Tamandua tetradactyla: one gene and its partners. The protein of the gene in region 1 interacts with the protein of each later gene in a pairwise test. Links are inferred from orthologs where the notes say so. Each region holds a gene or a part of one and is shown on either strand. Other genes may lie near its edges. The genes, in order: LNX1, KHDRBS3, TRIM54 and SRSF1.

Region 1 (6,975 bases):
AGAAATTGTTCCATACCAGAGCAGACTAAAGGGACATGACAACTAAATGCAACACTTGGCTCAGAAATGTGCTCTTTGGCCATACAGGATAGTTGGGACAATTAGAAACAACTTGAATTGGCCTGATGACTAGATGACAGTTGATGAAAATGTACTGGGTTCTGTGAGTGGATAGTAATAATGTATCAGTGTTAATTTCCTGATTTTGATGGGTATAATGTGGTTATGGAGGAGAATGTCCTTGTTAATAGAAAATGCACACAAAGTGTTGGGGGATAATGTGGCATCTCATTGATAGCTAACTCTCAAATGGTTCAGGAAAAAGATAGTGCAAAAGTTCTATTACCATACTTTTCACTGTACTGTACTTGCAACTTTTGTATAAGCTTGTGATATTTTCCAAAAAAAAAAAAATCTATATAGCAACATCTGGTCTATAGATCTACAGCTATAGTTATATTTACATCTACATTGATGTGTCTATATCTATATCCATTGTAATGAATATGCTAAGTCAGGAAGTATAATGCTTCCCATACTTGGCAGGTCACAGGTACTCAGAGGCTGCTTTGGGTGGAGAAAGCTTGGGGCAGTTGCCCTAAAGGCAGAATCCAGGTTTATCTGCTGCCTGCGGCTGCTCTGCCAAGGCAAGAGAGGTAGGTAATCTTCATCTCTCTCATTTAGTAAAGAGTGGACAGATTCCTGAACAATGGAAAGAAAGAGGATGCTGTACCTGCAGAGATGATCACACAGTCCATCTAACTTATCTGACAATGGGCTCATCTGCTAGAACCAAGACATGGAAACACTTGAGGTCTCCTTTGTCCTCTTAGAATAGTCTGTGAGATAAATAACTGAGGGGCAGTTCTTCGGTGTTCACCTGTAATCTGGATTGTGAGGGGAGACCATGTTCATTTGAGACTTGGTCTAAAGTATCATTAAGAAAAACCACTGCCAGTTAGGCACCTTGTAAGGCTTGGAACCTGGGATACATCTTCTATGTGTTCTGTTTCTAATCATCACAATGGTTCTTCAAGTTAAGTATCATCCCCATTTTATAGATGAGGAAATAGAGGCTCAGGGACGTTTAATAACTTGGTCATGTTATGCATCTAGGAGGAGATCATGCTGGGATTAGAAAACCAATCTGCAGAGCTCTTTTTACAGTTCTATGCCACCTCTCTACACACAGGCCCTCTGCTGTGTAGCCTTCTTCCACTTCACCCAGAATCCAACTCCCACACACTGAGCAGATCCTGACTCCGAGATTCCAGAGCATTTGTCACAGAGCACACAGTTAATTGTGTATAGCTAACTCACAAAAGTTTGATGAAATCGAGGACAGGAACCCCCTATCTGTATTCCCAGGCAGATGGTAATCATTTCCTGAAGAGCATTTACTGAGCACTTATTATGTGCCAGCAAACCTTCATAGCATTATCTCATTTAAACCTTAATACAATTCTATAAGGTAGGCATTCCCATTATTCTCATTTTACATGTCAGTAAACTGGGGCCAGAGGGATGAATTAAGTTACCCCAGAATGCAGTACTAGTAGGAGATGGAACCAGGATTCAAGGCCAGACAATGTAATCCCCCAGGCCAGGCTTCACCCCTCTGCCCTACTGCCACCGTCTTGCTGTAAATGTTTTCTGGTTGAGATATATTTCAGGAACTCTGCTGATCTGAAATGCTCTCCCCACAGAGCAAGCTTTCACCGTATGCAAAGCCCATGTGTGAAGCTCACCTCCCCAGGAGACTATTCTCACACACAACCTCTGCCTCTGGCTCCCTGGGCATAGAGCTGGCACCACATCCTGACATGTGACCCAGAGTTGGTTCCAGGGGACATAGTCTATCAGCATTTGTTGAACTGTCTTCAATTCCCAAGAATGGAAGTAAACAGGAATCAATAACAAGGGGGTATATTGCACTGAATGCTGTCACTATCTATTTCAGGATTTTCCAGGAGCGTCCCAATTTCTAAAATCCATTTTCTCATCAGACTATTTGTCAGAATATGTTCCAGAGAATGTCGCCTGGTGTTTGTTTAGAAAACACAGTCAATATTCTACTGAAAAGAGGCAGGAATGGGGGCAGGAGTTGCTGCCAGTGACCACCTACCTATGTGCCCTTGGGAAAGTCACAATTTCCCTGGAGCTAAATTTCTCCACGGGTGAAAATGCAAAGACAATACCTGCTCCTACCACAGAAATGAAACAAAACATTTGTGTGAATAGGGATAAAGTATAATGCTACCTAAAATCCAATTACCATGAAAAGAATTGCTGATGTTTACCCTGGCTTGCATGGCAAGTGTTTTTCATTGCTGAGAATAAAGGAAGAAAGAGGTTTATATGAGGAGCAGTGAGGAAAGAAAAAAAAATGGATGTAAGAAAAGCAAATGTCCTGGGGCCTTTCTAGGTCTTGAAAAAGACATAGCTAGATACTTCTGCCTCTGTAAGAACTTGATTGTATGTGTGTGTTTGTCTCAGGTAAAGGCAGATGTCAGAGACTAGGGTGTCAGGGGCAGTTTTCCCAAACTGTGGGGGGTCCTGGCAGGTGGAGAAACTAGGCAGGCATCTTACCTTTGCTTCGTTGTGGATCAGTCCCCAGTTGTGTGAAGGCTCAGGTGACAGTCCGTTTGGAAACTCAGCTTTTCTGCACAGAAACATTTTCTTTCTTTTTCCTGGGTCTTGTCTCCCAGACGCACATGCAGACCATCCACCTGTCTACACTCAGGAGTAAATCAGCGCACCGCCTGCCCTTTCTGTGAGGCTTTGAGCAGAGCAGACCCATAAACCCCGAGAGCAGCCAGTGGGGAGCCGTGTGGGAGAGCCGTACCCATCCCCCACCCCTCACCTCTGAACAGCCACTCATTATCGTTAGTGACATATCTGCCCTGTTTTGAATGGGGCTGAGGCTCCTTGGAACTTCCTTCTGCTCACGCCAAAAATCGGGATCCTTTTGTTCACCTTTAGGGCTGCCAAGTCAGGCCTACCGCACCCTTGGTTGTTGTTTTCCTGCAGGCATTGGGAAAATGAGCTTGGAGCCAGGAAAGGGAAATCAACAAGGAAACAAACACAGCGTCACTGCACCTTCAGGTCATCATTAGGCCTGGGACATCCTCCTGCTTGGGACTAGTTGCTAAAGAGACAGGGGCTTAGTAGCTCCTGGACTGGTCTCAGAATCCTGAGCATCTTTTTGTTTTCAAATGTACAAAGAAACACGCTAAATTACCTACATTAGACAAATCAAGCAATCATGATTTTTTTTCCAGTATTATGCCAAAACTTCCAAAGATTTTCCATAAGCAGTACCATTCATAGGTGAACAGCAGTTAGTGTTTGCAGAAAAAGAATGAACAAGAATATGGCTGACATTATGTATGATTTTTAAACTCTAATGATATAGGATTCTGCTCATTCTTCGTTATCACCATCACCATCACCTTCAGAAACAGCAGCAGCATCAGTAGTATCTGTGCTGATATTTGTTGAGCATTTTACTGTGCCAGGCCCTGTGCTAACTTCCTGACCTGCATTACTTCATCTAATTCTCACTATAATCCTATAATTTTCATTTTGTAGATGAAGAAATTGAGGCTCAGAGAGGTTTAGACACTCCCACACAATGACCCAGCTAGTTCAAAATTTAAGAATTGCATTGCTGAAACTGTTTTTCTCAGTCTTGCTTTTTCCACCAGGTAGGCTTAAATATTTCTGGGGGCTGATAGTTTCAGTGATGGCTAAAGACCTGGCTTAAATGAAAGATTGGCTCTGGGAATAGAATTCTAATTCATCAGTTAAAGTGGTCTCTCTCCAGATATGTTAATTGGTGCTATCTCATGTTCAACAATCAAGTAGGTCACATATAACCCAGGCACCTACTGCCTTCTCTGATCAAACCTGGTGCTGCTGGCTTCTGACTGTCTTTGATTCTCCACTGTCTTTTTTTTTATTTACAAGCAAGGATGTGCTCTATAAATCTTTTGGCCTCCGTGTGAGTTTTGGTCATGGCTCGATCACTAGTTTGTTCTTTTGACTTCAGGAGCCTGACAGTTACAAGCTTCTTTTAATCAACAATTCATGCAAGGGATGAAACTAAGTTCCCAGCCCAGAAACTTCTGCTGGTGAGAAATCAGCACATGTGGCTTTCAGTCCTCAGGTCACACTAGACTTTCTCGGGTTTTATTGCCTTCATCTTGACTTCCAATTGTTAGCAATTAACTCTCTTGTGCCATGGTGGTTACCCCAAGACAGCTGGCAGGTAGTCAAAGGAAAGTAAAACCATTAATTAGCAGGCATGGAGATGGCTCCCAGAGAGGACCAAGTTGTCAGTTTTCACAAATATACAAGTTGCAACATCATGACAGTTGCTCACCCCTGTTGCCCTTGGATTTGGTTTGGGGGAGCTTGGAGTATTTTGCCTTAGGGTCAAATGAGACTTCAAACTTGAGGTTGGTCAGCTTTTCATTCTTCTTAAAGGAGACTAAAGACAACTTCACCAGAGCTGCAGCGATAAAGAGGAAGATTGGAAAGAGTCTGGGCATTTAGCTTAGATATCATTTCATTTTTCTTTCCCAGTAGTTTACAATTAAATGCAGCATCTAGAAATGTTTACAGACTCTGGTTTTGGAGTTCTTTGATGAAGAGAGGCAATTTATAACAGTCAAATGGGCCTTTCAACCTTATCATCTGAAATGAAAAACCAAAATGTTGGAAAGGAGCTGATGTAATGGAAGCTTTCATGTTCCTCATCTGCTTCACAGCAGATTTGGGGACTGCCGGAAGCTTTGGGATTTTCCATTCAGAAAGGTAAGGTAGATGGATTTTATTTCTCCTTCCTCTCCTCTGAGCATATGGATCAGTACTGATTGATTCAGTTCCAAGAGTAGGGTCCATTCTGGGATTGATGATAAACACACACACCTCAAAAAAATTTTTTTTGCATGGTCATGTAACCAAGGCAGCTGATTGTTTAAAACTGGAAACAGAAAGAAGTCACGGATGAAAACAGGACGTATTAATTTAGCTTTACAAACGTGCCCTTTCCAAAGCCAGAATTACTCACTGCCTGGCAGCCCACAGCATGGAGACCTGAGCCTGCTTAAACTCTATGGCTTAAGAGTGTCATTTCCATTTGGTGTGGGAGATTCTAGGAGAGTGACAGATTCCAACTCAGCAGAAATGTCCAGATGTAATTAAACCCTAATAACTATGGGAAAGTAAGCATGCCTTCACTATAGAAGGACAAATGGCCTATTTTTAGAGTGTTCCAGAAAAGTAATATGCCCAGTTACGTGCAGAGAAAATTGTCTCATTCTTGGTGCATTTTGAAGGAAGGATATTAAACCCAAGAAATGTAAAATGATGGAGCAGCCATTTCAGTCTTCTAACTGGGACAAAGAAATCATCTGACCCAGCTTTCTTTCGCTCAGGCCCTTTTTCACCTTTACAAGATACTCAGGATGAAAATGGATTTATCGTATTAGGAGATAGAAAATTGTTTCTCTGAACTGTTACAGACTGATTGCCTTCCTCTCCCTGATCATGAGTATGCAACTTATAGTTTGCCCACCTATCCTTACAAATGGATTGGACAATGAGGGAAAGCTTGAAGTACCACGATAAAATCATATAGAGAAAGCCCCGGGAACCTCTTAGAGCCAAAACAAAACAAAACAAAACAAAACAAAAAGCACAACTTCCTCTTTGAATTCCCTCTTGAGTTTCTTCCTGAAAGCTTTTGAAATTTGAAATCTCCACCAAGGTAGCCAACTCAGATCAAGCCCCTAATTCAGTATATTTGACCCAATACCAAATAAAGCCCATCTGTGTTAAACCCACGTAACATTGGATGGAGGACAAACCTCCATCCAATCAATAGGAGTCAAGGTGACTTCCTTTTTATGTTTATAAAAATTGCTTGCCTTCCCTAGGAGCTCAAAGCTGCTTCATTTTTGCAAGTGATCTGGCTTACTTGCTACAGCAAAACTTTTGGTGTCTTGAAGAAAATGCTGTAATCTGCAGACTCAACTCTGTTTTGTCTTTCTACAACCATCTCTATGCCAGCAACTCTCTCATTCATATCTCTCTGGTCCAGACCTCTCTTCTACTTTTCAACTACTTTCTCGGTGTCTCACAGCCATCTCAAACTTCACACATCCAAATCCGACTCTTAATCTTTTCCCCTTCTTCCTCCTGTTTCCCAGTAAATGACCTTTTCATCCATCCAAGTGTTCCACGAGTATGCTCTACGAATTATACCTTCGAAATTTATATTAACTTCAACCAGTGCCCTCTGTTTCTGCTAACTTCAGTCTACCCATCCACCCTTTCTCATCCAGATTACTGCAGTTAGTCTCCTAAAAGGCCTCCTTGCCTCACTTCTTGACCTCAGTCCCTCTACCAAATCTAGACTTCACACCACATCCAGACTAGACTTTTAAGAAGGAAAGTCAGAATATGCCATTAGCCTGTCAAAAAGCTTCAAGGCTTTCCATTGCATTCACAATGAAATACAAAACCCCTAACATGGATCACTAGATTTGGCACAATTTGGTCCCTGCTCACCTCTCCAACATTGCTTCTGCTACATTCTCCTTCACTGAGTACCCTCCAGCCATACGAGCTTGCTGCCTGTTTCTTGAATGCTCAGGAATGGCTTTGCCATCCCTGAGCTGGTCCCCACTGACCTCCGCCCACACACATGCATGCACAATACCACTCTGTTCTCTTTCCCTGTCTGCCTGCCTAACACGTTCTCCTTTTTCAAGTCTCAGCTCAAATGTCCATTTCCTAGAGATACCTTCCTCTTTTTCCTGATAGCACTTTATACAATTTTAAAGTCTATTATTTATTTGCCTAGCTGCTTAATATAAAACAGAGTTTACTCATCAACACATACCCCATCTCCTAAACCCAGCTAGGTTTCCTTTCACGAGGGCAGGAGCTGTGTCTATTTTGTCATGA
Region 2 (7,137 bases), on another chromosome or scaffold:
CAAAGTGATACTTGGCCTAAGCACGAAAATCTTATACAGTGAATGCACCATAGTTTGAATCTTTAAAGACCATGGAAAACATGTCCAGAAAGAAACTCAGGAGAAAAAAATCAAGGGAAGTCTTCCTGCAGGTCGTCCTCCCTATGCTGAGCCCTCAGGTACGATGGGGTGCACTACATTGATTTCTGCAGGGCTCTGAAGGCGCGTATGAGGAGTACTTCATTTCCTCTCTGGTGGAGGGCCAAGGTGGAAAGAACAAGTAGAGAGCTGCACAACCCAGAGACCTGGGTTCAAATCAGATCTCGGCCGCCCACCGTGCGCCCAAAGAAGCGGCGCCCCCCCCCCCCTTCCAGCCTTGCAGGCTGCCTCGGCGAGAAGGGGGAAGTGCCCCGGCAACTTTAAAATACTAAGCAAACATAAGGCGCTGAGAGCATCTGGAGATGTAAACCGTAAAATACATCTACTTTATGTCACTTGGCAATAAAATAAAGGTTTGCAATGCTGACCCATTATCACTGCACAATTTAGAGCCGGAATATCAATTCCAGGGTCGAGATTCAGAACAACCCCTGAAAAGCATGGTTTTCAGAGACAAAGCCAAACATTTAGCTAAAGAAGAATAGATCTTTTCACATCGCCAATACTGAGATGAACTTCAGATGTTAAAATAAAGCTTCCTAACTATCGATTCTAATTCAGACTCAAGACACTGTGCTTTATTTAAAAGTTCACTAGTGAGCATGAAGTTACATAACAGAGTATAATTAATATTTTAAATTGCAGGGCTTTGCACTCTGGATGTCTGCCCATGATGTGAAGGGAAAACATTAGTCTGAAGTAATCTGAATTAACAGTCCTCCTAAGAACACAGGAGGAGCACCTCTTCCTTCCTTCACATCCCATTCAACGTGAGAACTGTCGTTCTCACAAGAATTACATTTCTGATGGAAAAGTAAAGGTAATCCAGCTTAGCAACAACAAAAACATTTCTCCAATACCTGTTTCAAGTAACTGCAAGCCACTGACACTGGAAGTAACAGAAACCAAAAGAATTTCCCATGTATTACCAACACAACGCTACACCAACATGATACACAAAAATAATTGACTTTTGAAATAACTTATTGTTTTCAGTTGGGTTATTTCCTTAACTGAGTACACCACAACTTTGATTGTTTCCTTATTAAGAAAAATGTACTCAATTGCCCAGTTCAGAGTATTTCTCATGCCACTGATCTCACACAATGTACAAAGAAATTTCTTTCATAGAGATAACAGCCCAGCAGGCAAAAAAGAGATATACGTAAATCATAAAGAACAATGAATACAAACCTAACTGGAGAACTGTTCAGAACAAACAGTACAGGAATAAAACCTAATTTTTTTTCTCTCATTTAAGAATACATGCCCATTAGTTTTTCACAAATCCATTTTATTAGAGAAACAAAAATAAGCCTGCAATTAGAATAAAATGGGGACGCTCTGTAAACCCATTCCTGTTCAGCAATTCAGACAGCATGCTCAAATTCTTGGAGACAGTAAGATCCTCTCTCCACCAGTCGACAGCACACACCCTCCTCTGAAGAACCGGTTGCATCAGGCAAATATTAGAAGTTGCTGTTTTCAAATGTAAAAATCTCTGTATCAAATAAGAGTTAACCACGTCCTCCTTCACTTCCAACGAGAGAAGAGCCAGGACTAGCACTGAGAACGGCAGATCCGATTTCTCTCGGGGACCACGCGCTGGCCACCCAGGGCGATTTCGGTCACCAGCTAGCCTCTGACCAGACACCGTTTCTGTCCTCCCCGAAAGACAACCAGCCGCCCCCCAATCCATCTTCGGCTGAAACGCGGGTTCCAAGCGCAGGCGGGGCGGGGCTGCTCCCGAGGGACTCATTTACCGGGCATCCCAGCAGGTTCCTCACAAAGCCCAGGGGCCCGGCCAGGCGACATTGAGGGCAGGCGGCCCCGACCCCGACTGCCCGGAGGTTCTCACGCTCAGCTGGACGGACAGGTGCTACGACGACACAGGCAGAGAGGACTCCTCTGCCAATATTCTGAACCCCAGACACTAATGAGAGTCACCCACCCAGCGCTTCCCGAAGAGGAGAAGCAAGTCAGTCGAGAAGGGGGCTCTTGTGCCCGCTTCTTCTACTGACTCCTCCAAGGGCCAGGCTGCAGGCTGGTGAGATGCCTACCCCCAGGGAGGGCAGACTGTAGTGCCTCCTGCACATGGGAGGAACAGAGGGCTCCTCCACTGGGACCACTAGATCCTTTTCTTCAAAGATGCTTTGGGTCTGACCCCAAACCTCCTCCAAGGTCCCCAAACTTCACCAACAATCCAAGCACCTGCTACTTCACCTCGTCTGTACTTGTTTCCCTCAAATCCTTCCATGTTCCTCCAGCTCTTTCTCCAGTCCCTTAAAACAAACCAAATGCCCTAGTTCCCCTTGTCCCCCGCACTCTCTTCTCCGATGAGATCATTCAACCTCCTCCCCGACAAAGCCCCAGATTCTTCCCCATCTGTTTCCCGTCCAGAAGTTTCCCTGGGGTATCCCCAAGTCCCCAAAGATTCCCTTCAAGTCTCACCCGACACCCCGCCCCCCAGTCTTCTCCTTTCTTCCTAAGCCCCCTAAATTCACATCCCCGTCTTCCAGCAGAAGTCCCATATTCTCGCGGGTCCCCACCCAAATGCCCCCAGATTCCTATCTGTCCCCTCCCCACAGCCTCCGCGATGTCTCTCCCCAGCGCCCAGCGCGTTCCAGCCAGTGGCACCCCGCAGCCCCCCACGCTTCCACCCGGCCCGCCGCTCCCGCCGGGGCCCCAACGGCCCGGTCGACAGTTAACCGCCGGGGCGCCCTCACCCTGGTTCACCAGCCGCAGAGCGTGTGTGAAGGAGGGGTCCAGGGAGTCCTTCTCCGCCATCAGCTCCGGCAGGTACTTCTCCTCCATGCTCGCCGGCCGCCGGGGCCCGGGACGCCGACTCGAGGCGGCCCGCGGCGGCCCCGCGCCCCCGGCGGCGCGGACCCGGGCGCGGCGCGACAAGCCGGGCGGACGACCCGGCGGCGGCGGCGGCACAGGTGCGGACGCCGACCGCGCGGCCCCGGTCCCCGGTGGCCGCTGACTGCCCCGCGCCCGCGCCCGCGGCCGCTGCCTCCCGGACGCTGCCCCGTGCTCCCGCCGCCGCCGCCGAGCCGAGCCGGCGCCTGGGGCCGGGCCGGGCGGCGCGGGCCGCGACCCTGCAGCAGTCCCCGCGCGCCCCGCCAGCCGCGCCGCGCACCGGCAGCCAGCGACCCGCACGCCCAGCGCCGCCCGCGCTCTCTGAGCGCTCGGGCCCCGCGCCCCGCTCGCGCCGCCTGCACGCCCCGCCCCGCGCTGCGCCCCGCCCGCCGCGCCTGCGCGCCGCGCCCTCCCGCCGCCGCCAGCACCGCCTCGCGGGGCCCGGGACTGCGCGGGGGGCCGGGCCCGCGCCGGGCGGGGTCTGGGGGCGCGCGGGCCTCGGGGAGAGGCCGCAGAGGTGCCGTGGTAGGGCGCAGGCCGGGAAACTGAGGCCCGGAGAGGCTCAGTGGCTCATCCAAGGTCACCCGGAGAGTGAGCCCGGAAAGCGGGGTGTGCACACAGCCCCCCGGGACAAGGGCCGAGCCTGGAGGGAGGAGAGGGGCCCCAGCTTGGCGCTGGCCCCAGGCGGCGGAGGAGGGTCACGGGGGGAGCCGCCCGCCCTTGGACGCGCCCTGGATTTCCTTCCTCGTCTGACTTCGCCTGGCCCGCCTCTGCATTTGCAAGAAAACGTCGCGGGGGGCGCAGCCCGCGCCCGGCGCTCGGGCTCCCAGCGCCCGCCTCCTGGACTCGTGGCTCCGAGGCCGATTACATAAAAGCGCGTGCCCTTCAGGGCGTCTTTGTCACACCCGACTTGCCACCCCATTGTCATTCTCTTCGCCGGTGGAACCGGCTGTGCCTGGGTGCGGATGAACGAGCTGCCCAGTCCCCTCGCGGGGAGACGCCCCCGGATACACAGGCTCCCCCACGCTGCGCTCAGATTTCCCAGCGTATGTGCAGCACACATCCCAGCGGCCTGAGGACTCCTGCCTCCCCCCCCCCCCAAACTCCAAGCTCAAGAGCCAGCCTCAATGTCACCTTCCCTGGACACCCTTCCCGGACTTCCCTGCAAAGCTGGCCACTCCCCAGCGAGACCAGTAATGATCTGTTTCCAAGGACGACCTCCCTCCCCCCCACCACGCCACCCCCACCCCCACCGCCATAGCAGGAACACTTGAGCATCTCCCAGTCTGGGTAGGGTTTGGGCTAGGGGGAGGGTCCGCAGCCGGTGACAGGGCGAGGGCCTGGGGAGCACCAGTTTGTTAAAGGAATAAGCTAGAGCCCTGCCGCCCCTTGTGGGCGTCCTCACAGCCCCCCCACCACACCCCCTGGATTCTTAAATGCAAATGGAGGCAGCTGTACAACCAGGGAGAAGAAACCAAAGGAGACTGCAGACTGCTGCTAAAGCCCCCACTCTCCGTGCCCAAGTCCCCTTATGCTCAAGCACGCCTTCTGACCTGACTACCAGGTACAGTAGAACCTTCTCACAAGGATTTTGCAAGAGGATTAGATGGCCCAGTGTGTGGCCTCTGGGCCAGGCGACCTGGATTTGGAATCATGGCTCTGCTGCCCAGGAGCTGTGCACCTTGACATGTGAACTCAATGGCTCCATGCCTCCTTTTCTTCTGCCTCCTGCACGGTGCTTCCCTTCAGCTGTGGCCCCAGGGGCCTTTAGCCAGCACCACCCCTCAGGGTCCCCACCCAGGACCCAGTGCATGACCCCAGTGACCCCCGGCCCAGAGCGGGGTTGGCAGGGCAGGGTCGTCCCCTGTGCCAGCTCCTCTGGTGATTCATCGTGACACCCCACTGATTCACCCCACAGAGCCGCAGACCTACATCTCCAAAACCCCGTTGTGTCTGCTGTCCCAGAGGCAGTTTAAAGGCTTCATGGGGAGACGTTTCCTCCTTTAACCCTGAATGGAAGCGCCTGGCTTGTGGTCCTGCATACAGGACTGCAGTCTGGACCCACGGCAGCTGCTTGAAAGGGAGGAAGGGAGGAAGAGCCTCGGGGACACGCAGAGGGGAGAATGGGGACCAGTGGCACAGCTGCTCCCATCCGGCCCTGGGCCCTGCACCACCCCCCCATGGCTCTCTTTCCTCTACATCTTCCATGTGGGCCTTCTGCGCCAGCCACTCGGCCAACCTTCAGTAAGGACAGGTTTTTAGAAAGCATTACTAAGTGCCGGGCACCGTGCTGGGTGCTTTGCAGTCACTGTTTCCAGTCCTCTCGATACCTGCAGGGAAGATACTTTTTATCACCATGTACACGTCAGGGCAGTCAACACTCTGCCTAAGGCCCCTGAGCACACCCCTGGGTCCTCCAGGGAGGAAGGAGACACACGGCTCCGTGAGATGCTCAGGAAACTGTCCCCAGTGGGGTCGGGGGCAGAGCGCCTCTGCAGGGCCCTGACATGGATCCTTTTGGAGAAACTCAATCCGGGCCTCGTTTCTGGCCAGCGGCTGCAGGCAGCACCCACTCAGGGCTCCTGACACCCAGGCAGTCTTGGAGGGGGGCGTGGTGGGGTGTGTGATGGTACTCATTGGAGTGCTGGCTGCACGGCACCTCCTACGGGCACTGCCTCCCTGGGCATCGGGGATACAACGTGGACAGTTCTCCTGAGTCCCTTGAGGCCTCCAGGGACCACTTACTCTGCGTTGAAATAAGAAACTGCCCCCTCCCCTCGGATTCGCTCCATGCCCCCAAGACAGGGGGGCCTCCCCTACCCACCTCACCCGGGACCCCAGGGCCCTCCCAGGATCGTGCTGCCCCCACAGCAAGTCCTTCCTGTCCCAGCCACCCGCCGGGACACCACCCCCAGCCCCCCAGCCCAGGAGAGAAGGACAAACACTCCCTGGACCTGATCACACTCAGGGCAGGAGGTCAGGCGCTGCCCAACTGCCTGAGGACACAGAATGAAGGTGGCAGTGTGTGTGAGGGAGACAGCTGTCACGTTTGCCCGGGATCGCTGCCCTGGCTGGGAGCCTCCTGTGCCTTCTATTGGAGAAAGGGGAGCCCCAGCCTGGTCTCCCCCAATGCTTGCAGTACTGCGGGCGCAGGGCCAACGTCCAACTGTACTGGTGTGCTCTGCGCCCAGACAGACCCCGGTTTGGGCCCCGGCTCCCCTCCTTAGGGGCGGTGTGATGGAGAGTCAGCTGCTCTCGGGGTCCCAAAAAACAGGGAGGGGAGAAGTCGGGTCTCTCAGGACTGCGGGGGGAGCGGGCTGCAGCCTGAGAGTGCTCCTCACTGGCCTCGGCGGCTCTGCCCATGCCCTGCCCACAGGTCACTCAGCACACAGGCGACCACGGCCCCTAGCCCCTGCCCGCCCCAGCCCCGGGCCCCTGGTTCTCAAGCCATGCCCCCTAATCGCAGCCCCAGTGCAGGCTGCTCGGGCCCTGGGGCACAGAACTTTGCCACGTGAGACAAGCCCCCAAAGGTGGCCCGACCTTGCCTAGAAAGCCCGTAGTGTGGATGTCTGGATAGGGAGGAGGGAGGCCCCACGAGTGTTCCCGACCCCGGCGCCTCCCGGGTTCAGCAGGAAATGCTGCCCTCCACGCTGAAAACTTGGCCAGCCACTGCGGGGGCACCGGGGAGCTCTTCCAAGTCGGGGTCGCCACCGAGCCTCAAGTCAGGCACGCCTCTGCCGCAGGCTGCGGTCCTAACGCGCCCCCCGCGGTTCATTCACGCAACCTGCAAGAGACCCCACGGGCAGCTGCGGGGGCCCGGCCAACCCGCGGGGGGCCCTGGCTTTTAGAGACGAGGGGACAGTGGCGCAGAGAGTGACCCATGGGTGGTGAGGGAGACTTGGATACAGCACGTACACGCCCGCACACTCGCACGTGTACGCGTGCACACACTCACACGCACGCTATCCCGTACGCGGGATGAGGCCTTCCGCCTCCTTAGCCCCCTGCCCTGCGCGTCCGCGGCCGAGTCTTCCTGGCCGAGCACCGCCCCCCCGACTCCCACCCCGGCCCACCTCCCCGACTCCGCTTGCCGGGAAGCCGCCGGGGTCCGGCGTCCCCAGGCTGCAGAACCCCAGA
Region 3 (6,975 bases), on another chromosome or scaffold:
CTTCCACCACCCACCACCACCACCACCACACCCTCTGCTCCTGCAACTGGGGCTGTGTGGGCTGGTGGGTGCCTCCCACTGGGCTCTTAGTTTGGGAAATAGAAAGAGCGAGAGGAATAGAAGAGGCCAGGATCCAGGAAGAGCCTCACATGATCTGTATCCCAGGGCCAGGGAAGTCCCACGTGGAGAGCTGACAAGGACCTCACAGGTGCTTTCAACCAGACTTCAACCGGAATGACCCACTTGTCATGGAAACAAGGGAAACTATCTCAAATCTCAGGGGAGCCCTCCTGCCATGATCTGCACATGTCCCCGGGGTGGATAATTCATCAGCTACTGTGGGTAGATATTCTGAGCCAACGTAACCATATCAAAGCACCCAGGGTAAATCCCTCCCCACTCCCCCACTCCCCCGCTCCCCCACCTCTGCGCTTTCCCCACCCCCGTCTGTAACCCATTCTCTCATCTCCAAACTGAAGAGGTTGAAGAGGTGGGTAGGTGGCTGGTTTCTGTTTTCCCTTTCTGGCCTGGATGGGTTCCCTGGCTGTGTCCCAGGCCCCAGGCCTTGGAGAGGCGGGAACCCCTGACAGCTCACCGGGAGGACTCCTGCTTGTAAATGTCAATGATGTTCTCCACCAGCAGATTCCTCTGCAGGCCATAGACCCCATGTCGGTCCAGCACGACCTCGTGCCTGCAGGAAGGGCAGCGGAAACGGCCTCCCGAGGACACAGTGGAGGAGCCCCGGGACTGCCACAGGGGGTTGGAGGCCTGCGGGGGAGGCAGCACGAGGCATCAGGGAATTGGGGGGAGGCTGGAGGAGAGGCCAAGGGCCTGCAGCAGGAGGGGAAGGGTGGAGGGGCAGGCATCAGCCTGTTTACACAGCTGGGGCTTCCTCTGGGAGCAACAAAGTGTGGGTGGCCATAGACATCGTGTTTCCCACTCTGCCTCACTACTCAGCTCTAGCTCCTTGAGTGTCTGTGTGTCCAGAGCTTAGCTGTGGCCAAGGCGTAGAAGGTGCATACCCCAGAACAAACATGTCCTTCATCTTAGCCCGTTCCTATGGGTGGGAAGCCATTGCCAAGGCCTTTTGAAGATGCTATTTTGGTTAAGGGGTGGTCAACGGATGAGGTTCGGCCTTCGCCCTCTTCCTGGAGGCTTTATGAAGAGGAAGCCATGTGAAGGAGTAGATGTGGAAGGCAACAGAACCCAGAAGAGAAAGGAGAGGACATGCCATGTGACAGGACAGCCAAGGACCCCGAGGATTGCCAGCCAGCCAGAATGCTACCAAACCTGAGAGGAAGCAAGGCTTCTGGCCTCTGAAACTGTGAGCCAATAAATTCCTGTTGTTTAAGCCAGCCCACTGTGTGGCATTTGTTGTAGCAGCTGTGAAATTAAGACAGCCTTGTTGGGATGGGATTTCTCCAAAGGGGCCTGGCATGGAGCTATAGGGAGAAACTGGCCTGGATAGGAGAGCTAAGATAAGAAATGGACCCTGAGTGGGTTCTCTGCAGAACTGAGTGGGAGCACAAGCAGAGGTCCGGCTGAACCAGCTGGGTGATTCTGGGAAATGCTTCCAGGGGCTGGGAGTCCAGGAGTCCTGGGCTCTGGTGCTGTCCCTGACACTGTTTCACGATGTGAACTTGGGCAAGCATTCAACCTCTCTAAAGGACTAGAATGGAGTATTCATTCTATTGTAAATATTGACTGAGTATGCCAGGTAATTGCTAGGTCCCAGGAGATAAAGATATGAACAAAATGCATATCCCTGTCCTAAGGACAAGCAAACAGAAAACTGCCTCTTGCAGGATGGGTGTCATGACAAGGGTAAGCTCCGAAGGAGGATGTACCACAGATGCTCATCGCTTCTTCCCATGTACACCCTCTTCTTAGAGCACTTGCTCCCTCCCATCCTAAAAGGGAGAGCCCTGCCTAGGACTACCTATTCCTGGCCACAGGTGATGGTCTCAGAGTTGAGAGGGTGATCAACTGAGCCAAGCAAGGCCAGATATTCTCTCCTAGGAATCTGGATTTGAGACATAGAGGCTGAAGTGGCTTGAGCAAGTGCAGCTCTGGAAAAGGCCTATGGAGTTGGGCTAAGAGCTGACATTATGACCACCCAAATGGAAGTAGACGGTGTGGGGGGCAGAAGCTATGAGCCTTAGAGAGAAGGCAGGTCTGCAGAGAAGAGAAAAGAGCCAATATGTAGAGAGAAGCCAGGAGGAAAAATAGGCAGAGACTGCTTGTCATTCCTTGATCTCCACCCCCTCACCCCACTTTCTTCTTCAATAATAGAGTCCTTGAATTTTAGCAAGACACATGACTGCCTGGAATAAAGACCATGCATCTAAGCCTCTTTTCTCGTTAGATGTTGCCATGTTGCTATCTCCCGGCCATTTGGTATAGGCAGAAGTGCTTTGTGCAAGTATCTTTAATGGAAATGCACACACCCTACTCCTGCCCTTTTCTCCTTCCTGCTGGCTGGAATGAATGTGGGATGGCTGGAGATGAAGCAGCTGTCTTGAACCATGAGATGGTACCACATGCCGAGAAGGGCAGCAAGATAAAAGGAGCAGACCTCTGATGAGCATGGTGTCACAGCAGCAGTCCTGGTCTGCCTGCCCATACTTACACTTGAGAGAAAACACTAATTCTTACCTTCTTTCAGCCAGTTTGGGATTTTCTGTCACAGCAGAACCTAATCCTAACACCCAGAAGATCCTGTACACTTAGATTGTAATGGAGAAAGTAATCACCTGTGACTTTCCATATTTAGATGTGTTTCCTGCAATTAGGTTAAATGAAATTCTCCAAATTCTTATGATCACTCCTCTTTCTTTAAGCATACGTGAGCAGTTTTCTGATTCTTGAAATCCAATGTGCCCTGAATCAGAAAAAAAGGCTATTCTGTCACACAGGTTGCTTTTGGCTGCAAAAGTGGGCTGGAAACAAACCACAGCACAACTTCCTTCCATGCAACAAGTGGTGGTGGAAAGGGTATCAGTGGGTATGACCAACTCCTGGCTGATATCCCCCCAGCCTCATCTTCTCCCACTCTAAGAAGAATGGGTTTCTCTCAGCCAATCTGAAAATTTTGAAAATTTCTGAGGAGACTCTGATTGGCCCAGCTTGGGGCAGATGCTCAGACTTTGGACCAACTGCTGAGACCTATGGAGCAAAGTAATATGATTGGCCCTGCTGGGTCATGTGTTCCCCTTTCAAAAGTGGGGCTTGGCTGTTTGTATATAGCATGCTCGTTCCCAGAAACTTCGGGTATCTATATGACACCTGAGACTCAGAGTTAAAACCCTGAAGCTATGAAAGTCAGCAGTACCCCATGCAAGAACTGTTTAAAAAGTTGAAAAAGTGATCAGTCTTTGAGTAGAGATATGAATGAAGAAATCTGGATAGGACTGTGGTAGATCAGAATACAGGGTAAAGGATGATATCATCCATTATTTAAAACTTCAACTTCTGTGTGAGACCAAAGGGAATGATGTTTATTGCGTGAAAAATCTATATTTTGGGTAGTGCATTTCTTAATTTAACTTCCTATGTTCAGTTTAGTTGAACACTAAGTACATGGAATCATGGATAGGGTGTGAGGTTTTGTTGACTTGCTCAGGTTAATGTGATGCCCCGATAAATCCCAGAGTGGTTCGGCAGTGAATAAAGAAGTATTTGCAAAGTCCCCTTGCGTAGTTGGGGGGAAGAAAGGAGGAAATATTCAACTTCCCCACTTGGAGAATTTCTGATATATGCGCAAGCAGTGGGGACAACCAAATCAATAGGTTAGGCCTTGATCTTGGGGTTCACCCCTATGAAACTTATTCCTGCAAAGGATAGGCTAAACTTACTTAAAATGAGGCCAAATTCCCTAATATAACTTATGTAGACAGCTTAATTGAACACCATAAGTACATGGAATCTTGAGTAGGGCATGAGATGTTGTTGGTTTGTCCAGAGTGATGCCCTGATAAATCCCACAGTGATCTGAACAGTGAATAAAAAAGTATTTGCAAAGTCCCCTTCAGGGAATGGTGAGAAAGTGGGAAAATTCAACTTCCCCAAGTTGAATTTTTTTTTCATATTCTCACAAGCAGTGCAGACAACCAAAGCCATAAGCTAAGCCCCCAATCTTGGGGTTTGTTCATATGAAACTTAACCCCACAAAGGATAGGTCAAGGTTAATTAAAATTAGGCCTAAGAGTCACCCCCAAGAGAACCTCTTTTGTTGCTCACATGTGGCCTTCCTCTCCAGCCAACGCAACAAGCAAACTCACTGCCCTCCCCCTGTCTATGTGGGACATGACTCCCAGGGGTGTGGACCTTCCTGGCAACGTGGGACAGAAATCCTAGAATGAGTTGGACTCAGCCTCAAGGGATTGAGAAAAGCTTCTCAACCAAAAGGGGGAAGAGCGAAATGAGACAAAATAAAGTGTCAATGGCTGAGAGATTCCAAACAGAGTCGAGAGGTTATTTTGGAAGTTACTCTTACACATTAAATAGATATCACCTTGTTAGTCAAGATGTAATGGTGAGGCTGGAGGGAACTGCCTGAAAGTGTAGAGCTGTGTTCCAGTAGCCGTGTTTCTGGAAGATGATTGAATAATGATATAGCTTTCACAGTGTGACTGTGTGATTGTGAAAACCTGTGTCTGATCCGTCTTTTATCTACCTTATCAACAGATGAGTAAAACATATGGGATAAAAATAAATAATAGGGGGAACAAATGTTAAAATAAATTTAGTAGATTGAAATGCTAGTGATCAATGAAAGGGAGGGGTAAGGGGTATGGTATGCATGAATTTTTTTCTGTTGTCTTTTTATTTCTTTTTCTGAATTGATGCAAATGTTCTAAGAAATGATCATGATGATGAATGTGAAAAAAAAATAAACTAAGGCCTAATAGTCACCACCCAAGAACCTCTTTTGTTCCTCAGATGTGTCCTCTCTCTCTAAGCCAACTTGGCAGGTGAACTCACTGCCTTCCCCTCTCTATGTGGGACATGACTCCCTGGGGTGTAAATCTCCCTGGCAATGAGGGACAGAACTTCCAGGATGAGCCGGGACCCAGAATCAAGGGATTGAGAAAGCCTTCTTGACCAAAAGGGGGAAGAGAGAAATGAGACATAATAAAGTTTCAGTGGCTGAGAGATTTCAAACAGGATTGAGAGGTTATCCTGGAGGTTTTTCTTATGCATTATATAGATATCCTTTTTTAGTTTATGGTGTATTGGAGTGGCTGGAGGGAAGTACTGGAAAGTGTTGAGTTGTGTTCCAGTAGCCTTGATTCTTGAAGATGATCATATAAAGATGTAGCTTTTACAGTGTGACTGTGTGGTTGTGAGAACCTTGTGTCTGATGCCTCTTTTATCCAGGGTATGGACAGATTTTAAAAAAAGTATAAATAAATAATAGGGAGGAGAAAGGGTAAAAGAAATTGGATAGATGGAAATACTATTGGTCAGTGATGGGGAGGGGTAAGGGTGTGGTATGTATGAGTTATTTTCCTTTTTCTTTTTCTGGAGTGATGCAAATGTTCTAAAAAATTATCATCATGATGAATACACAACTGTGTGATGATATTGTGAGCCACCTGATTGTACACCATGTATGGACTGTATGTGTGTAAAGATTTCTCAATAAAAATATATTAAAAAAAAAAATTGAGGCTCGAGTCAAAGACAGCAGCTCCCACCAGGGAAGGGAGAAGAGCACAGCTCCAAAAGAAGGGCATGGGTTTGGGCACAGCCTCTGAAGGGAATGGTGGAGAACCAGGCAGCCACCCAAAGACCTGTTGTAGGCACCTAACTGAGCAGTTAAGGGGGGAGGGAAGTTTGGGGATTAGTAATGTCTCTGCTAATTCTGAAGGATGACTAAGGGTGAGCCCGGTAAAGGGACAGGGAAGGAGGAAAGAGTGTGTCAGGTCAAAGGAAGGGGGTCAGCAAAAGCCTACAAGTGAATCTGGATTGGCCATGTCCGGAGGACTGAGCGGTGCTGGGTGCTGGCGGGAGCGTGTAGGCAGTGGAATGGGGAAGGAGAGCGCCTGAGGGCCTGGTGTACCTCTCTCCAGAGTCTGGACTCTGCTCGTAGGGGCATGAGAAGCCATTTAGGAGCTTTAAGCAGAAGGAATGATGTAATCGAGTATCCATTTTAGAAAAGTTATGTGAGGAGGATACACTGAAGGTAGGTGAGAGCCAGGGAGCTCCGTTAGGAGGAGGACACTGCAGTGACCAAAGAGGAGCTGGTTGTCCAAACCCAGGCAGTGGAAAAAGGCGTGAGGCTAGCAGTCAAGAGATGAAGATACTAGTCACCGTTTCTCCATCTTTAAAAGAGGCTATTGGTCTCTGCTTTATCTACAGCCCAGGTTTCTCATTGAGAAGAGTAGATGGGAGAATGCTGGGATACCCCCTTGTAAACTATAAAGCACTAAACTATACAAATGTGAGGTCCCTGACATTCGCCGCCTAGGACCCCACTATGGGGAAGGGTGGAAGAGATGCTGAGACCCACCAAAGTGAAAGATGGAGGGTTGCCTTGGGGCAGGGGTGTACCTGCGCGAAGGTGTGGAGAAGGCATTTTGGAGACCAGAACAGTCTAACCAAAACTATAATAGAATTCATATAGGAAAACCATCTACTAACAACTAGAGGAGTCTTATGTATGTTTCCTTAAAAGAATCTGAACATTTAAAAGCCACAACACATTTGTTGTACAGTAATACAAATTTCTTTGTCATTATTATAAAACTTTAATTTTCATATACTTGATTTGGTATTATCAACCCATCCTATAGACTTCATATAATGGCCTTAAAAAGAATCATGAGGGGTGCATGGATGGCTCGGTGGTAGAATGCTCACCTGTCATGCAGGAGACCCAGGTTTGAGTCCTGTGCCATTCACATACCCCCACCCCACCCCTCCCTCCAAAAAAAGCATGAACTATTTTTGTTCTAGAGAATTAGGTTGTTT
Region 4 (7,953 bases), on another chromosome or scaffold:
GGTTTTGTGGTTGCAAAAAGTTATGTAGTTGAAAAGTTTACTGGTATTGGTACCCACCTAAGTCTAAACTAAAGCTAACGTTCCCATCTGCAATTTAATTTGTAAATTAAGTGTTTTAGGCATGAGTCAATCATGAATATTAAAGGGGAAGGTGAGACTTAACGTATTCCCAACTAAATTATCTACACCAATATGTTGAAATTCTGTATTTTGTTTTCATTTTGTCTTAAAAAAATGAAATAGCAACGCTATATCAGTCACACAGAGGACATGCAGATTTAGCAGTATTGATATTATACTCTATCTGGTTGGAATTAAAAGACACCCTGTACCCACATGTACACCAACAGCAGGTCACACATTAACAGTTGTAACTAAGCACTGTGACAAAATTAGCCAGTTCTTCCCACATTAGTCCCTATTAAAACAAAAAAAGAGGGAAGGGAGCAAAATAAATTGTTACAAAATGGGCAATGTAATTTTGCCACAATTGCCAAGGTTTAAAAAGCAAAGCAATTGTAGCTACACATAACTGCATAAGATGTTTGCATGTCTTTTAAGGTCGATTTACTTTTTAACCCTTGCCTTTTAGTATAAGGTCAATACTGCCAATTTCATCTGTGACAATAGCACTTGGAGTCATACCATTGCCTCCATTATTGATCTGATCCTCCTCAATCCTCCTTTTGACAATCCTAAAATGATTGAAATGTGCTCCACAATCCTTAATCCAAAGCATTCTTAATCCATCTCTTCAGATATGTCTACAGAAAGACACATGAAAAGGCAAGATAAACATAAGAACTTCCCCAGGTAAGATAACCACAAACACCCCCAACATCCCAGTTCACACAAACCAGAGCAGAATAGACATTTACACATTATCACAGTCTGAAGAGCATGGAGAGTTAACTAAATTTAAAGAATCCTGTCTATGACATCACTTAAAATACAATTTTTATCAAAGACATGAGGGGAATGTAGATGTTAGGAGCAAGGGGATATTACACAACAATGCAATTCAACACTTTTAGCCCATTCTGAACAAAACAGTTTGAATTTTAAAAAATGAATAGATTGTACTGAGTAAAGGAAAACTGTATACAACATGGGTTCTACAAAAAGTGTCACCAATCATTTTATGTACGAGAGCGAGATCTGCTATGACGGGGAGAATAGCGTGGTGATCCTCTGCTTCTCCTTGGGGAATAACTGCGACTCCTGCTGTTGCTTCTGCTACGGCTTCTGCTACGACTACGGCTTCGAGATCGAGATCTTCCATAACTTGGACTTCTGGGCCCATCAACTTTAACCCGGATGTAGGCAGTTTCTCCCTAGTGGATAGACAGAACTTTCGATTGAAAGATCTAAGCTTTCACCTGACTTCAGGCATGCTGAATGAATCAATGAAACTAAAACCAGAAATGATCTGGCACTTTACTTGGACACCCTTGCCTGAATCCTTACCTTCAAATTCCACTGTTAAGACCACTGTATCCAATTCTGGCCAAAGAAAAGAATAAGTGTATAACCTACCTCATGAGATCTAAACTTAGTGTTATCCAGTTTTCGAACTGCATAGGTCATATCTTCTTTCCGTACAAACTCCACGACACCAGTGCCATCTCGGTAAACATCAGCATAACATACATCACCTGCTTCACGCATGTGATCCTTCAAATCCTGCCAGCTTCCACTTGGAGGCAGTCCTGAAAAGTGATTTTTTTTTCAATACCAAGTATCTCAAATATCACCTTAAATGTGTAATGTACATTAGAACAAAGATTATGTCAAAATAATGATTGTACCTAAATGATTCCAAGCAAGATTCTGGAATCCAGAGTCCAAAACTATTTGCGAAATAAGGATCTTCATATTCTAGTACTGCAATCTTACTTGGTTACATTTTCATTACAGCGATCCTTGTTCGTTAAAATTCACCCAATAAGAACAAAACTTAAGACCTAGCATGAAAACTTCCAATTATCAAGTCAAGCATACAAGAACAATTTTACAGTAGTTTGTTCCCTCTCATCAACCCATAACAGCAATAACTCACCAGAGACAACCACTCTGTTTTCAGACCGCCTGGATGGGGGGCCATAGCGCCCTCGGGGAGCTCCGCCACCTCCACCCCCACCGCCACCTCGGCCTGTACCACGGCCGCTTCGAGGAAACTCCACCCGCAGACGATATCCATCGTAATCATAGCCGTCACGACCATACACCGCGTCTTCCGCGTCTCTGCGTGACCACAGAAAGCAAAGAGATAAGAAAAGGGTCCGGCAAAGGAAGTCTTAACTCGGTCAAGAGCTAGTACACCATCAAAACCCGCACATGCGCACCGAGTGTGGAAGAGCCCACACGCGCTGCATAATAGAAATGGCCCCTCCCCCACCCAGAAGCATGCCAGCCTCCAGACGATACGACAGCCCAGAGCTCCTCAGTTTCCCGCTCGGAACATGCAAGTCGGCTCAAGGGATGTCCATGGGGCCAGGCCACCACAGAAGCCAAACCAACTTGCCTCCTTACTCAACTCCAGCGTGGGCGATATTGCCTCGCCCCCAACCTCTCCAAGAGTACTGCCCCACCCCCCCATTCTCCATGTTAAGGCCTCACAGCCTCCCCAACTACTCCAACCTATTTCTTCAAAGCCGCAAGCCCCATGCCGCCTCACCGCGGGTCCTCGAACTCAACAAAAGCGAAGGGCGGTCCCCCGCGGCGATTCTTGAGATCGATGTCGCGAATAGCGCCGTATTTGTAGAACACGTCCTCAATGTCCTTGGTTCGGATGTCTGGAGGTAAGTTACCCACGTAGATGCGGCAATCGTTGTTCCCTGCCGGACCACGAATCACACCACCTCCTGACATGGCGGCTACGGAAAGCGCGAACTGGAGAACAGGCCTTCCCACCAAGCCTAGCGCACAACAGAGCGAACCCGCAGCGACACCACGTCTCCCGCGGCCCCTCCAAAATGGCGCCTTTATCTGCTGGGCGCACGGATATCGACGGAGGGAGGAAGAGAAACGAGAGGAAGTAGTGATTCGCTCTCAATACGCACGCGCAAAACGTAACGAGCGCGTTGAGAAGTACGCACACGCACGCTCGACGTGACCCTCCGCACGAAGGGGAAAAAAGTTCCCCGCGTTCTCGCTGTGCAGTGCGGTTTGCCAAGGGGGTGACCAGCCTTTTATAAAAATTAAATCCGGGACTTCGATAAAGGGGCTATTCGTGCCTGTCGGGCCTTGAAAGACAGTCAGTTTCCCCAGGAATGGGCCTCTTTTAAGGCAAATCGGCGCCTTAAAAGGATTTGGTGAAACAGCCTAGAGCCTTTTGTCCCACCATGCTTTGCGGTGTTAACGGTCTTTGGCGGGAAAGAATTTCGGGGGCGGGGTCGAGGGGGTGGGACCAGTTGGTTGCTCCCGAAACTAGGGCATCTTCCGAGAGTGGACCCTGTGCGGGAGCTGTGTTACTGGTGATTTAGTAGAGAGTCAAGGCGTGGCCTTGCGTTCCCGCCCTTTCACCTGTGAAAAGACCTAGGGCCAGTTTAGATTCCTTAGTAAATATTCTGCAAAAAAGTACTGTTCCACCTTCGGTTCAGGGCTTAACTTTTGCACGGCTCAATTCAACACGCTTTGTGTTAGGGCGATCCTAAACAATCATAAGTGGAACCTGATAACCGGTGGGGTAAACAACATCGTACCGCCTCCAAGACCAAGACCTCCTCTGCTCCACTCATTGTGTCTTTGCTGGGCTTCGGGTAGAGGAAAGGCTCAGTGAAAGCTTGGAGAATGAATTGTGCCTGTCGTTTTTCCACATTTCAGAGGACGAAAAAGAAAAAGTATTTTTAGGGAGTTTGCAAAATCCCGAAGGTAATCCCTTTTTGAAGCGTTCCCCCTAATATTTATGTACAACAGTTTTGAATTATTGGCTTCTCAGGTAATATAAATTAGCAAAATGAATGTGTGAGAACTATGACTAACCGTAAGGCACAGTTGCTTCTCAGAATTGTCATCCTGCTTGAGTGTTGGCTCTTTACGTTTTCCCAGATTTTTATGTGAAATGTTAGGATTTTTAAATGTTAGTAATAAATTCAAATTTTATGAAAACCCTGCAGTCAGATTTGCTAAAACATCTGCACCCTGAGTTTAATGATGATTTTCTTCATTATGTTTACTTATTTGTACTTCTCCCCAACGATGTGATGAGGCTTACAGAGATAGAATTAGACAGTATTATAACTGAATGAATAAATAAGGAGAATGGGAAAATAAGGAAGAAATTAAGATGACGTCTCAGATAACGTTAGTAGATAAAATGCCTGCAGTAAGAGCCTGCTGAGTTCTAAGAGATGGATTTCAAATTTGACTCTGGTCTTCCCAGAAGCCACATTAAAGAAGGAAACACCTGTATTTTCAAAATTCAAAGTGCTCTTGAGATTAAAAAGTAAATTGGTTGTTCAGGAGAAGGGCATGTTTTCTTAGTTCTAAAAGCTGGCAATGTGTTTTACACATATCTCTCAGTGATCCCAAAATACAAATTCAGTTTGAAACGTCTTGAGTAGGAATGCTTACTTTTGGTCTGTAGATCCTCAACAGATCTATAGGACCTTTGGTAGTCCTTGAATTCTCTGTAATGGTTTCCAAAATTATGTGTATGTGTGTGTGTACTTTTTTTGGAGAGAAATTTTGAAATTTTAATCATATTCTTAAAAATTCCAAAAGGAAAAAGAACACTTGAAATTTTTAAAGAAAGGATAGATTACCTTTTCAGGCCGTCCTTCAATGATATATTTTGAAACTGAGCTTTTAATAAAAAAAAGAACCTGATTTTTTTTTTTTAGTGAGAAGAATCAGACCAAAAAGGACACTATTTCAACAAATTTATTCAATTTCTGGCACAGTACCATGGATAAGAATTGTTGTTTTAATTTTGGTCATATATTTTTCATTCCTTCAACAGTTAATTACTGATCACATTTTGTCTTCGTTTCCAGTTTTTACCCATCAATTTAAGAAATACTCAGTCATCTGTTGATTAACGTTGTGTTATGTCAGTGATAACTGAAGTGTTCTAAACATAGGTGCTTTTAATTTTAAGACACTCTCATTCAGAAAAATAAGAAAACTATTTGTTTTGATTTATTCGTGTCTGTCTAATTCAATGCAAATATTTCTGATTCTGTTCAGTTCAGAGAAATACAAAACAGAACTTAAGAAGAGTGAATAGGACCTTCTTGTTTATCTACTGGCCTTTTTACACTTGATCTTAGCCAGGAAGCTGAGACACAAACTCTGCTACCCCTTTTTATATTTGAAAATATTCAAATTGTAGGTTCTGGAATCAAAGGGATTAGGGTATGACAAGGAAAATCTGGATGGCTATTTATCAAGGTCTCCCAGAATGACATTAATTTGGTGATTATTACAATCTAAGAATGGGATCTTAATGTCAGCAGTGTCCCAGAATAGATTAACAAATTTCATTCCACTAATAGACAAGAGGGCAAATAAACGAAACTATTTATTCATTTACTGGAGGTAGGGACAGATTCAGTTTTGGTGATGAGGTGGCTCAAATGTACATGCCAAGACAACTGTTTTGGAATGTCTGGAAAGCAAAGCAGACTGTTTCTTACTAAATGAGGACTCAGAACAAAGTGAGGTGAATCATTTTGAGGGATGTTTCATTCAGATCATGGTGAGACCTGATAAATGATCCCTGCCCAAAAACAAAGTACACAAAGTACACCTCTTTAAAGAAAGGAATATTCATATTCGCCGGATTTGATGTTTTCTGTTTCCTGGAAAGTACTAGGTAAAGATTGACAATTCTTTCTGTAGGCTGATCTTGACATTAACGTTCTCTAAACAGTGCACTAGACAATTGATTAGGTTTTTGCGGGTCAAATTACAGCCACTTCCAGTTTTGACTTCTGAGATTACATCCTCACCTTTATTGGGTTTCGAGGTGTTTCTAAACTCAGTACACTTTCACAGGAAGTCTTATGGATTGAGCCCACAACCAACTGATATGGATTTTACTAGCTCTTTTCTCAGAAGCAATCTTATTTTCAACACTTGCTCTTTATGAAAAGTTGCTTCCTGAAAAAGAAACTTACAAAATGTTTTCAGTTCAATCCAGTAACTCTATACTAGTGTTGGCACCATACGTTCTCCTGGAAATGATTACTTCAGAGACTGCAAAATTTTGAAAATTAATTACTGCAGGGGTTGAAATCACAAATGCACTTTTTCAGTGATTTGCTCAATATTTAAAACTCCCTGTGATGATGGTTACACAAGTCTGTAAACATACTAAAAATCATTGAATTAAACACTTAAGACAGGTGAATTGTAAGGTATGAAAATTAAACCTCAATGAAACTTTCTTTTAAAAGATGGGGGTAAATGAAAACCCTCTGTGCTATTTTGAAACTGTTGTGTACACCAGAAAAGCCATGTTTTTAAATCCTTTTCAAATATTTCTGGATGGGACGTTTTGATTAGGTGGTTTCCATGGAGATGTGTCTCCACCCATTCAAGGTAGGGTTGCTTACTGGAGCCCTCTAAGAAGGAACCATTATGGAGAAGGTTTTGGAGTCCACACAGCAAAAGACCCTTGGAAACGCAAAAGGAAAAGACCCCTAAGGAATCCTTATGAAACAAGAAACCAGAAGAGAAAGCTAGCAGACTTCCTCACGTCTTCCCAGCTGATAGAGGCATTCCAGAGGGCATCAGCTTTGACTGAGTGAAAGTGAACTCTTGTTGGTACCTTAATTTGGACATTTTCATGGCCCTAGAACTGTAAACTTGCAACTTAATAAATTCCCTTTTTAAAAGCCATTCTGTTTGACTTCCGGAGAAGATGGCGGCTTAGTAAGACGCGCGGGTCTTAGTTCCTCCTCCAGAAAAGCAACTAAAGAAACAGAAACAATACGAAACAGCTCCTGGAGTCACGACAGAGACCAAAAAGACAGTGTACCCCATTCTGGAACGGCTGAACGGGCAGGGAGAATCCGCGGCAGTGAGATACCCGAGGGGCGCGCGTTTTCCCGGCTGGGGCGGCTGGCGACTGGGGTCCCCTCCACGCACGTGGCTCCCCGGTCTGACTGGGAACGTTGGATAGCGGGGCCCTCCCGTCACGCTTGGCATCTCGGGCCAGCTGGGCAATTTGGACCGGCACTCTCCCAAGCCGCGGCGGCCAGCGACCCCCCCTCCACGCGCGGTTTCCCAGGCCGACTGCTGTGCAGACAGACGAGCGCCACGAGCGCCACCTACTGGACAGGAAAAGAAAAACAGAGCCCAGAGATTTCGCAGAAAAACCTTTCAACCAGCCGGGTCCCACACCCAGGGAAATCTGATCAAATGCCCAAACACCAGCAGAAAATAATGGAAGACGCTCGGAAAATTGAAGATATGGCCCAGTCAAAGGAACAAACCAATAGTTCAAATGAGATACAGGAGCTGAGACAACTAATGCTGAATATACGAACAGAAATGGAAAAACTCTTCAAAAACCAAATCAATAAATTGAGGGAGGACATGAAGAAGACATGGGCTGAACAAAAAGAAGAAATAGAAAATCTGAAAAAACAAATCACAGAACTTATGGGAGTGAAGGACAAAGAAGAAAAAATGGAAAAAACAATGGATACCTACAATGGTAGATCTAAAGAGACAGAAGCTACAATTAGTGAACTGGAGGATGGAACAACTGAATTCCAAAAAGAAACAGAAACTATAGGGAAAAGAATGGAAAAACTTGAGCAGGGGATCAGGGAACTGAATGACAATATGAAGCGCACAAATATACATGTTGTGGGTGTCCCAGAAGGAGAAGAGAAGGGAAAAGGAGGAGAAAAACTAATGGAAGAAATTATCACTGAAAATTTCCCAACTCTTATGAAAGACCTAAATTTACAGATCCAAGAAGTGCAGCGCACCCCAAAG

Evidence for each region.
Region 2: the proteins of LNX1 (region 1) and KHDRBS3 interact in a two-hybrid assay, tested with the Homo sapiens proteins (2 studies listed by BioGRID and IntAct). The link is inferred for Tamandua tetradactyla from reciprocal best matches to the Homo sapiens genes LNX1 and KHDRBS3.
Region 3: the proteins of LNX1 (region 1) and TRIM54 interact in binary tests that used the Homo sapiens proteins (3 or more experiments, as listed by UniProt). The link is inferred for Tamandua tetradactyla from reciprocal best matches to the Homo sapiens genes LNX1 and TRIM54.
Region 4: the proteins of LNX1 (region 1) and SRSF1 interact in a two-hybrid assay, tested with the Homo sapiens proteins (3 studies listed by BioGRID and IntAct). The link is inferred for Tamandua tetradactyla from reciprocal best matches to the Homo sapiens genes LNX1 and SRSF1.

The regions. Positions count from the first base shown.
Region 1 is NC_135345.1:53,898,051-53,905,025, forward strand, and holds the start of LNX1 (E3 ubiquitin-protein ligase LNX), read right to left. Parts: upstream 3,007-6,975; 5' UTR 2,590-3,006; intron 1-2,589.
Region 2 is NC_135332.1:179,346,737-179,353,873, reverse strand, and holds the start of KHDRBS3 (KH domain-containing, RNA-binding, signal transduction-associated protein 3), read right to left. Parts: upstream 3,003-7,137; 5' UTR 2,953-3,002; coding exon 2,865-2,952; intron 1-2,864. UniProt on the Homo sapiens protein: RNA-binding protein that plays a role in the regulation of alternative splicing and influences mRNA splice site selection and exon inclusion. Binds preferentially to the 5'-[AU]UAAA-3' motif in vitro.
Region 3 is NC_135329.1:11,235,698-11,242,672, reverse strand, and holds the start of TRIM54 (tripartite motif-containing protein 54), read right to left. Parts: upstream 3,018-6,975; 5' UTR 2,973-3,017; coding exon 2,754-2,972; intron 769-2,753; coding exon 596-768; intron 1-595. UniProt on the Homo sapiens protein: May bind and stabilize microtubules during myotubes formation.
Region 4 is NC_135332.1:38,936,216-38,944,168, forward strand, and holds the start of SRSF1 (serine/arginine-rich splicing factor 1), read right to left. Parts: upstream 3,018-7,953; 5' UTR 2,872-3,017; coding exon 2,678-2,871; intron 2,245-2,677; coding exon 2,060-2,244; intron 1,710-2,059; coding exon 1,537-1,709; intron 1,335-1,536; coding exon 1,140-1,334; 3' UTR 1-1,139. UniProt on the Homo sapiens protein: Plays a role in preventing exon skipping, ensuring the accuracy of splicing and regulating alternative splicing.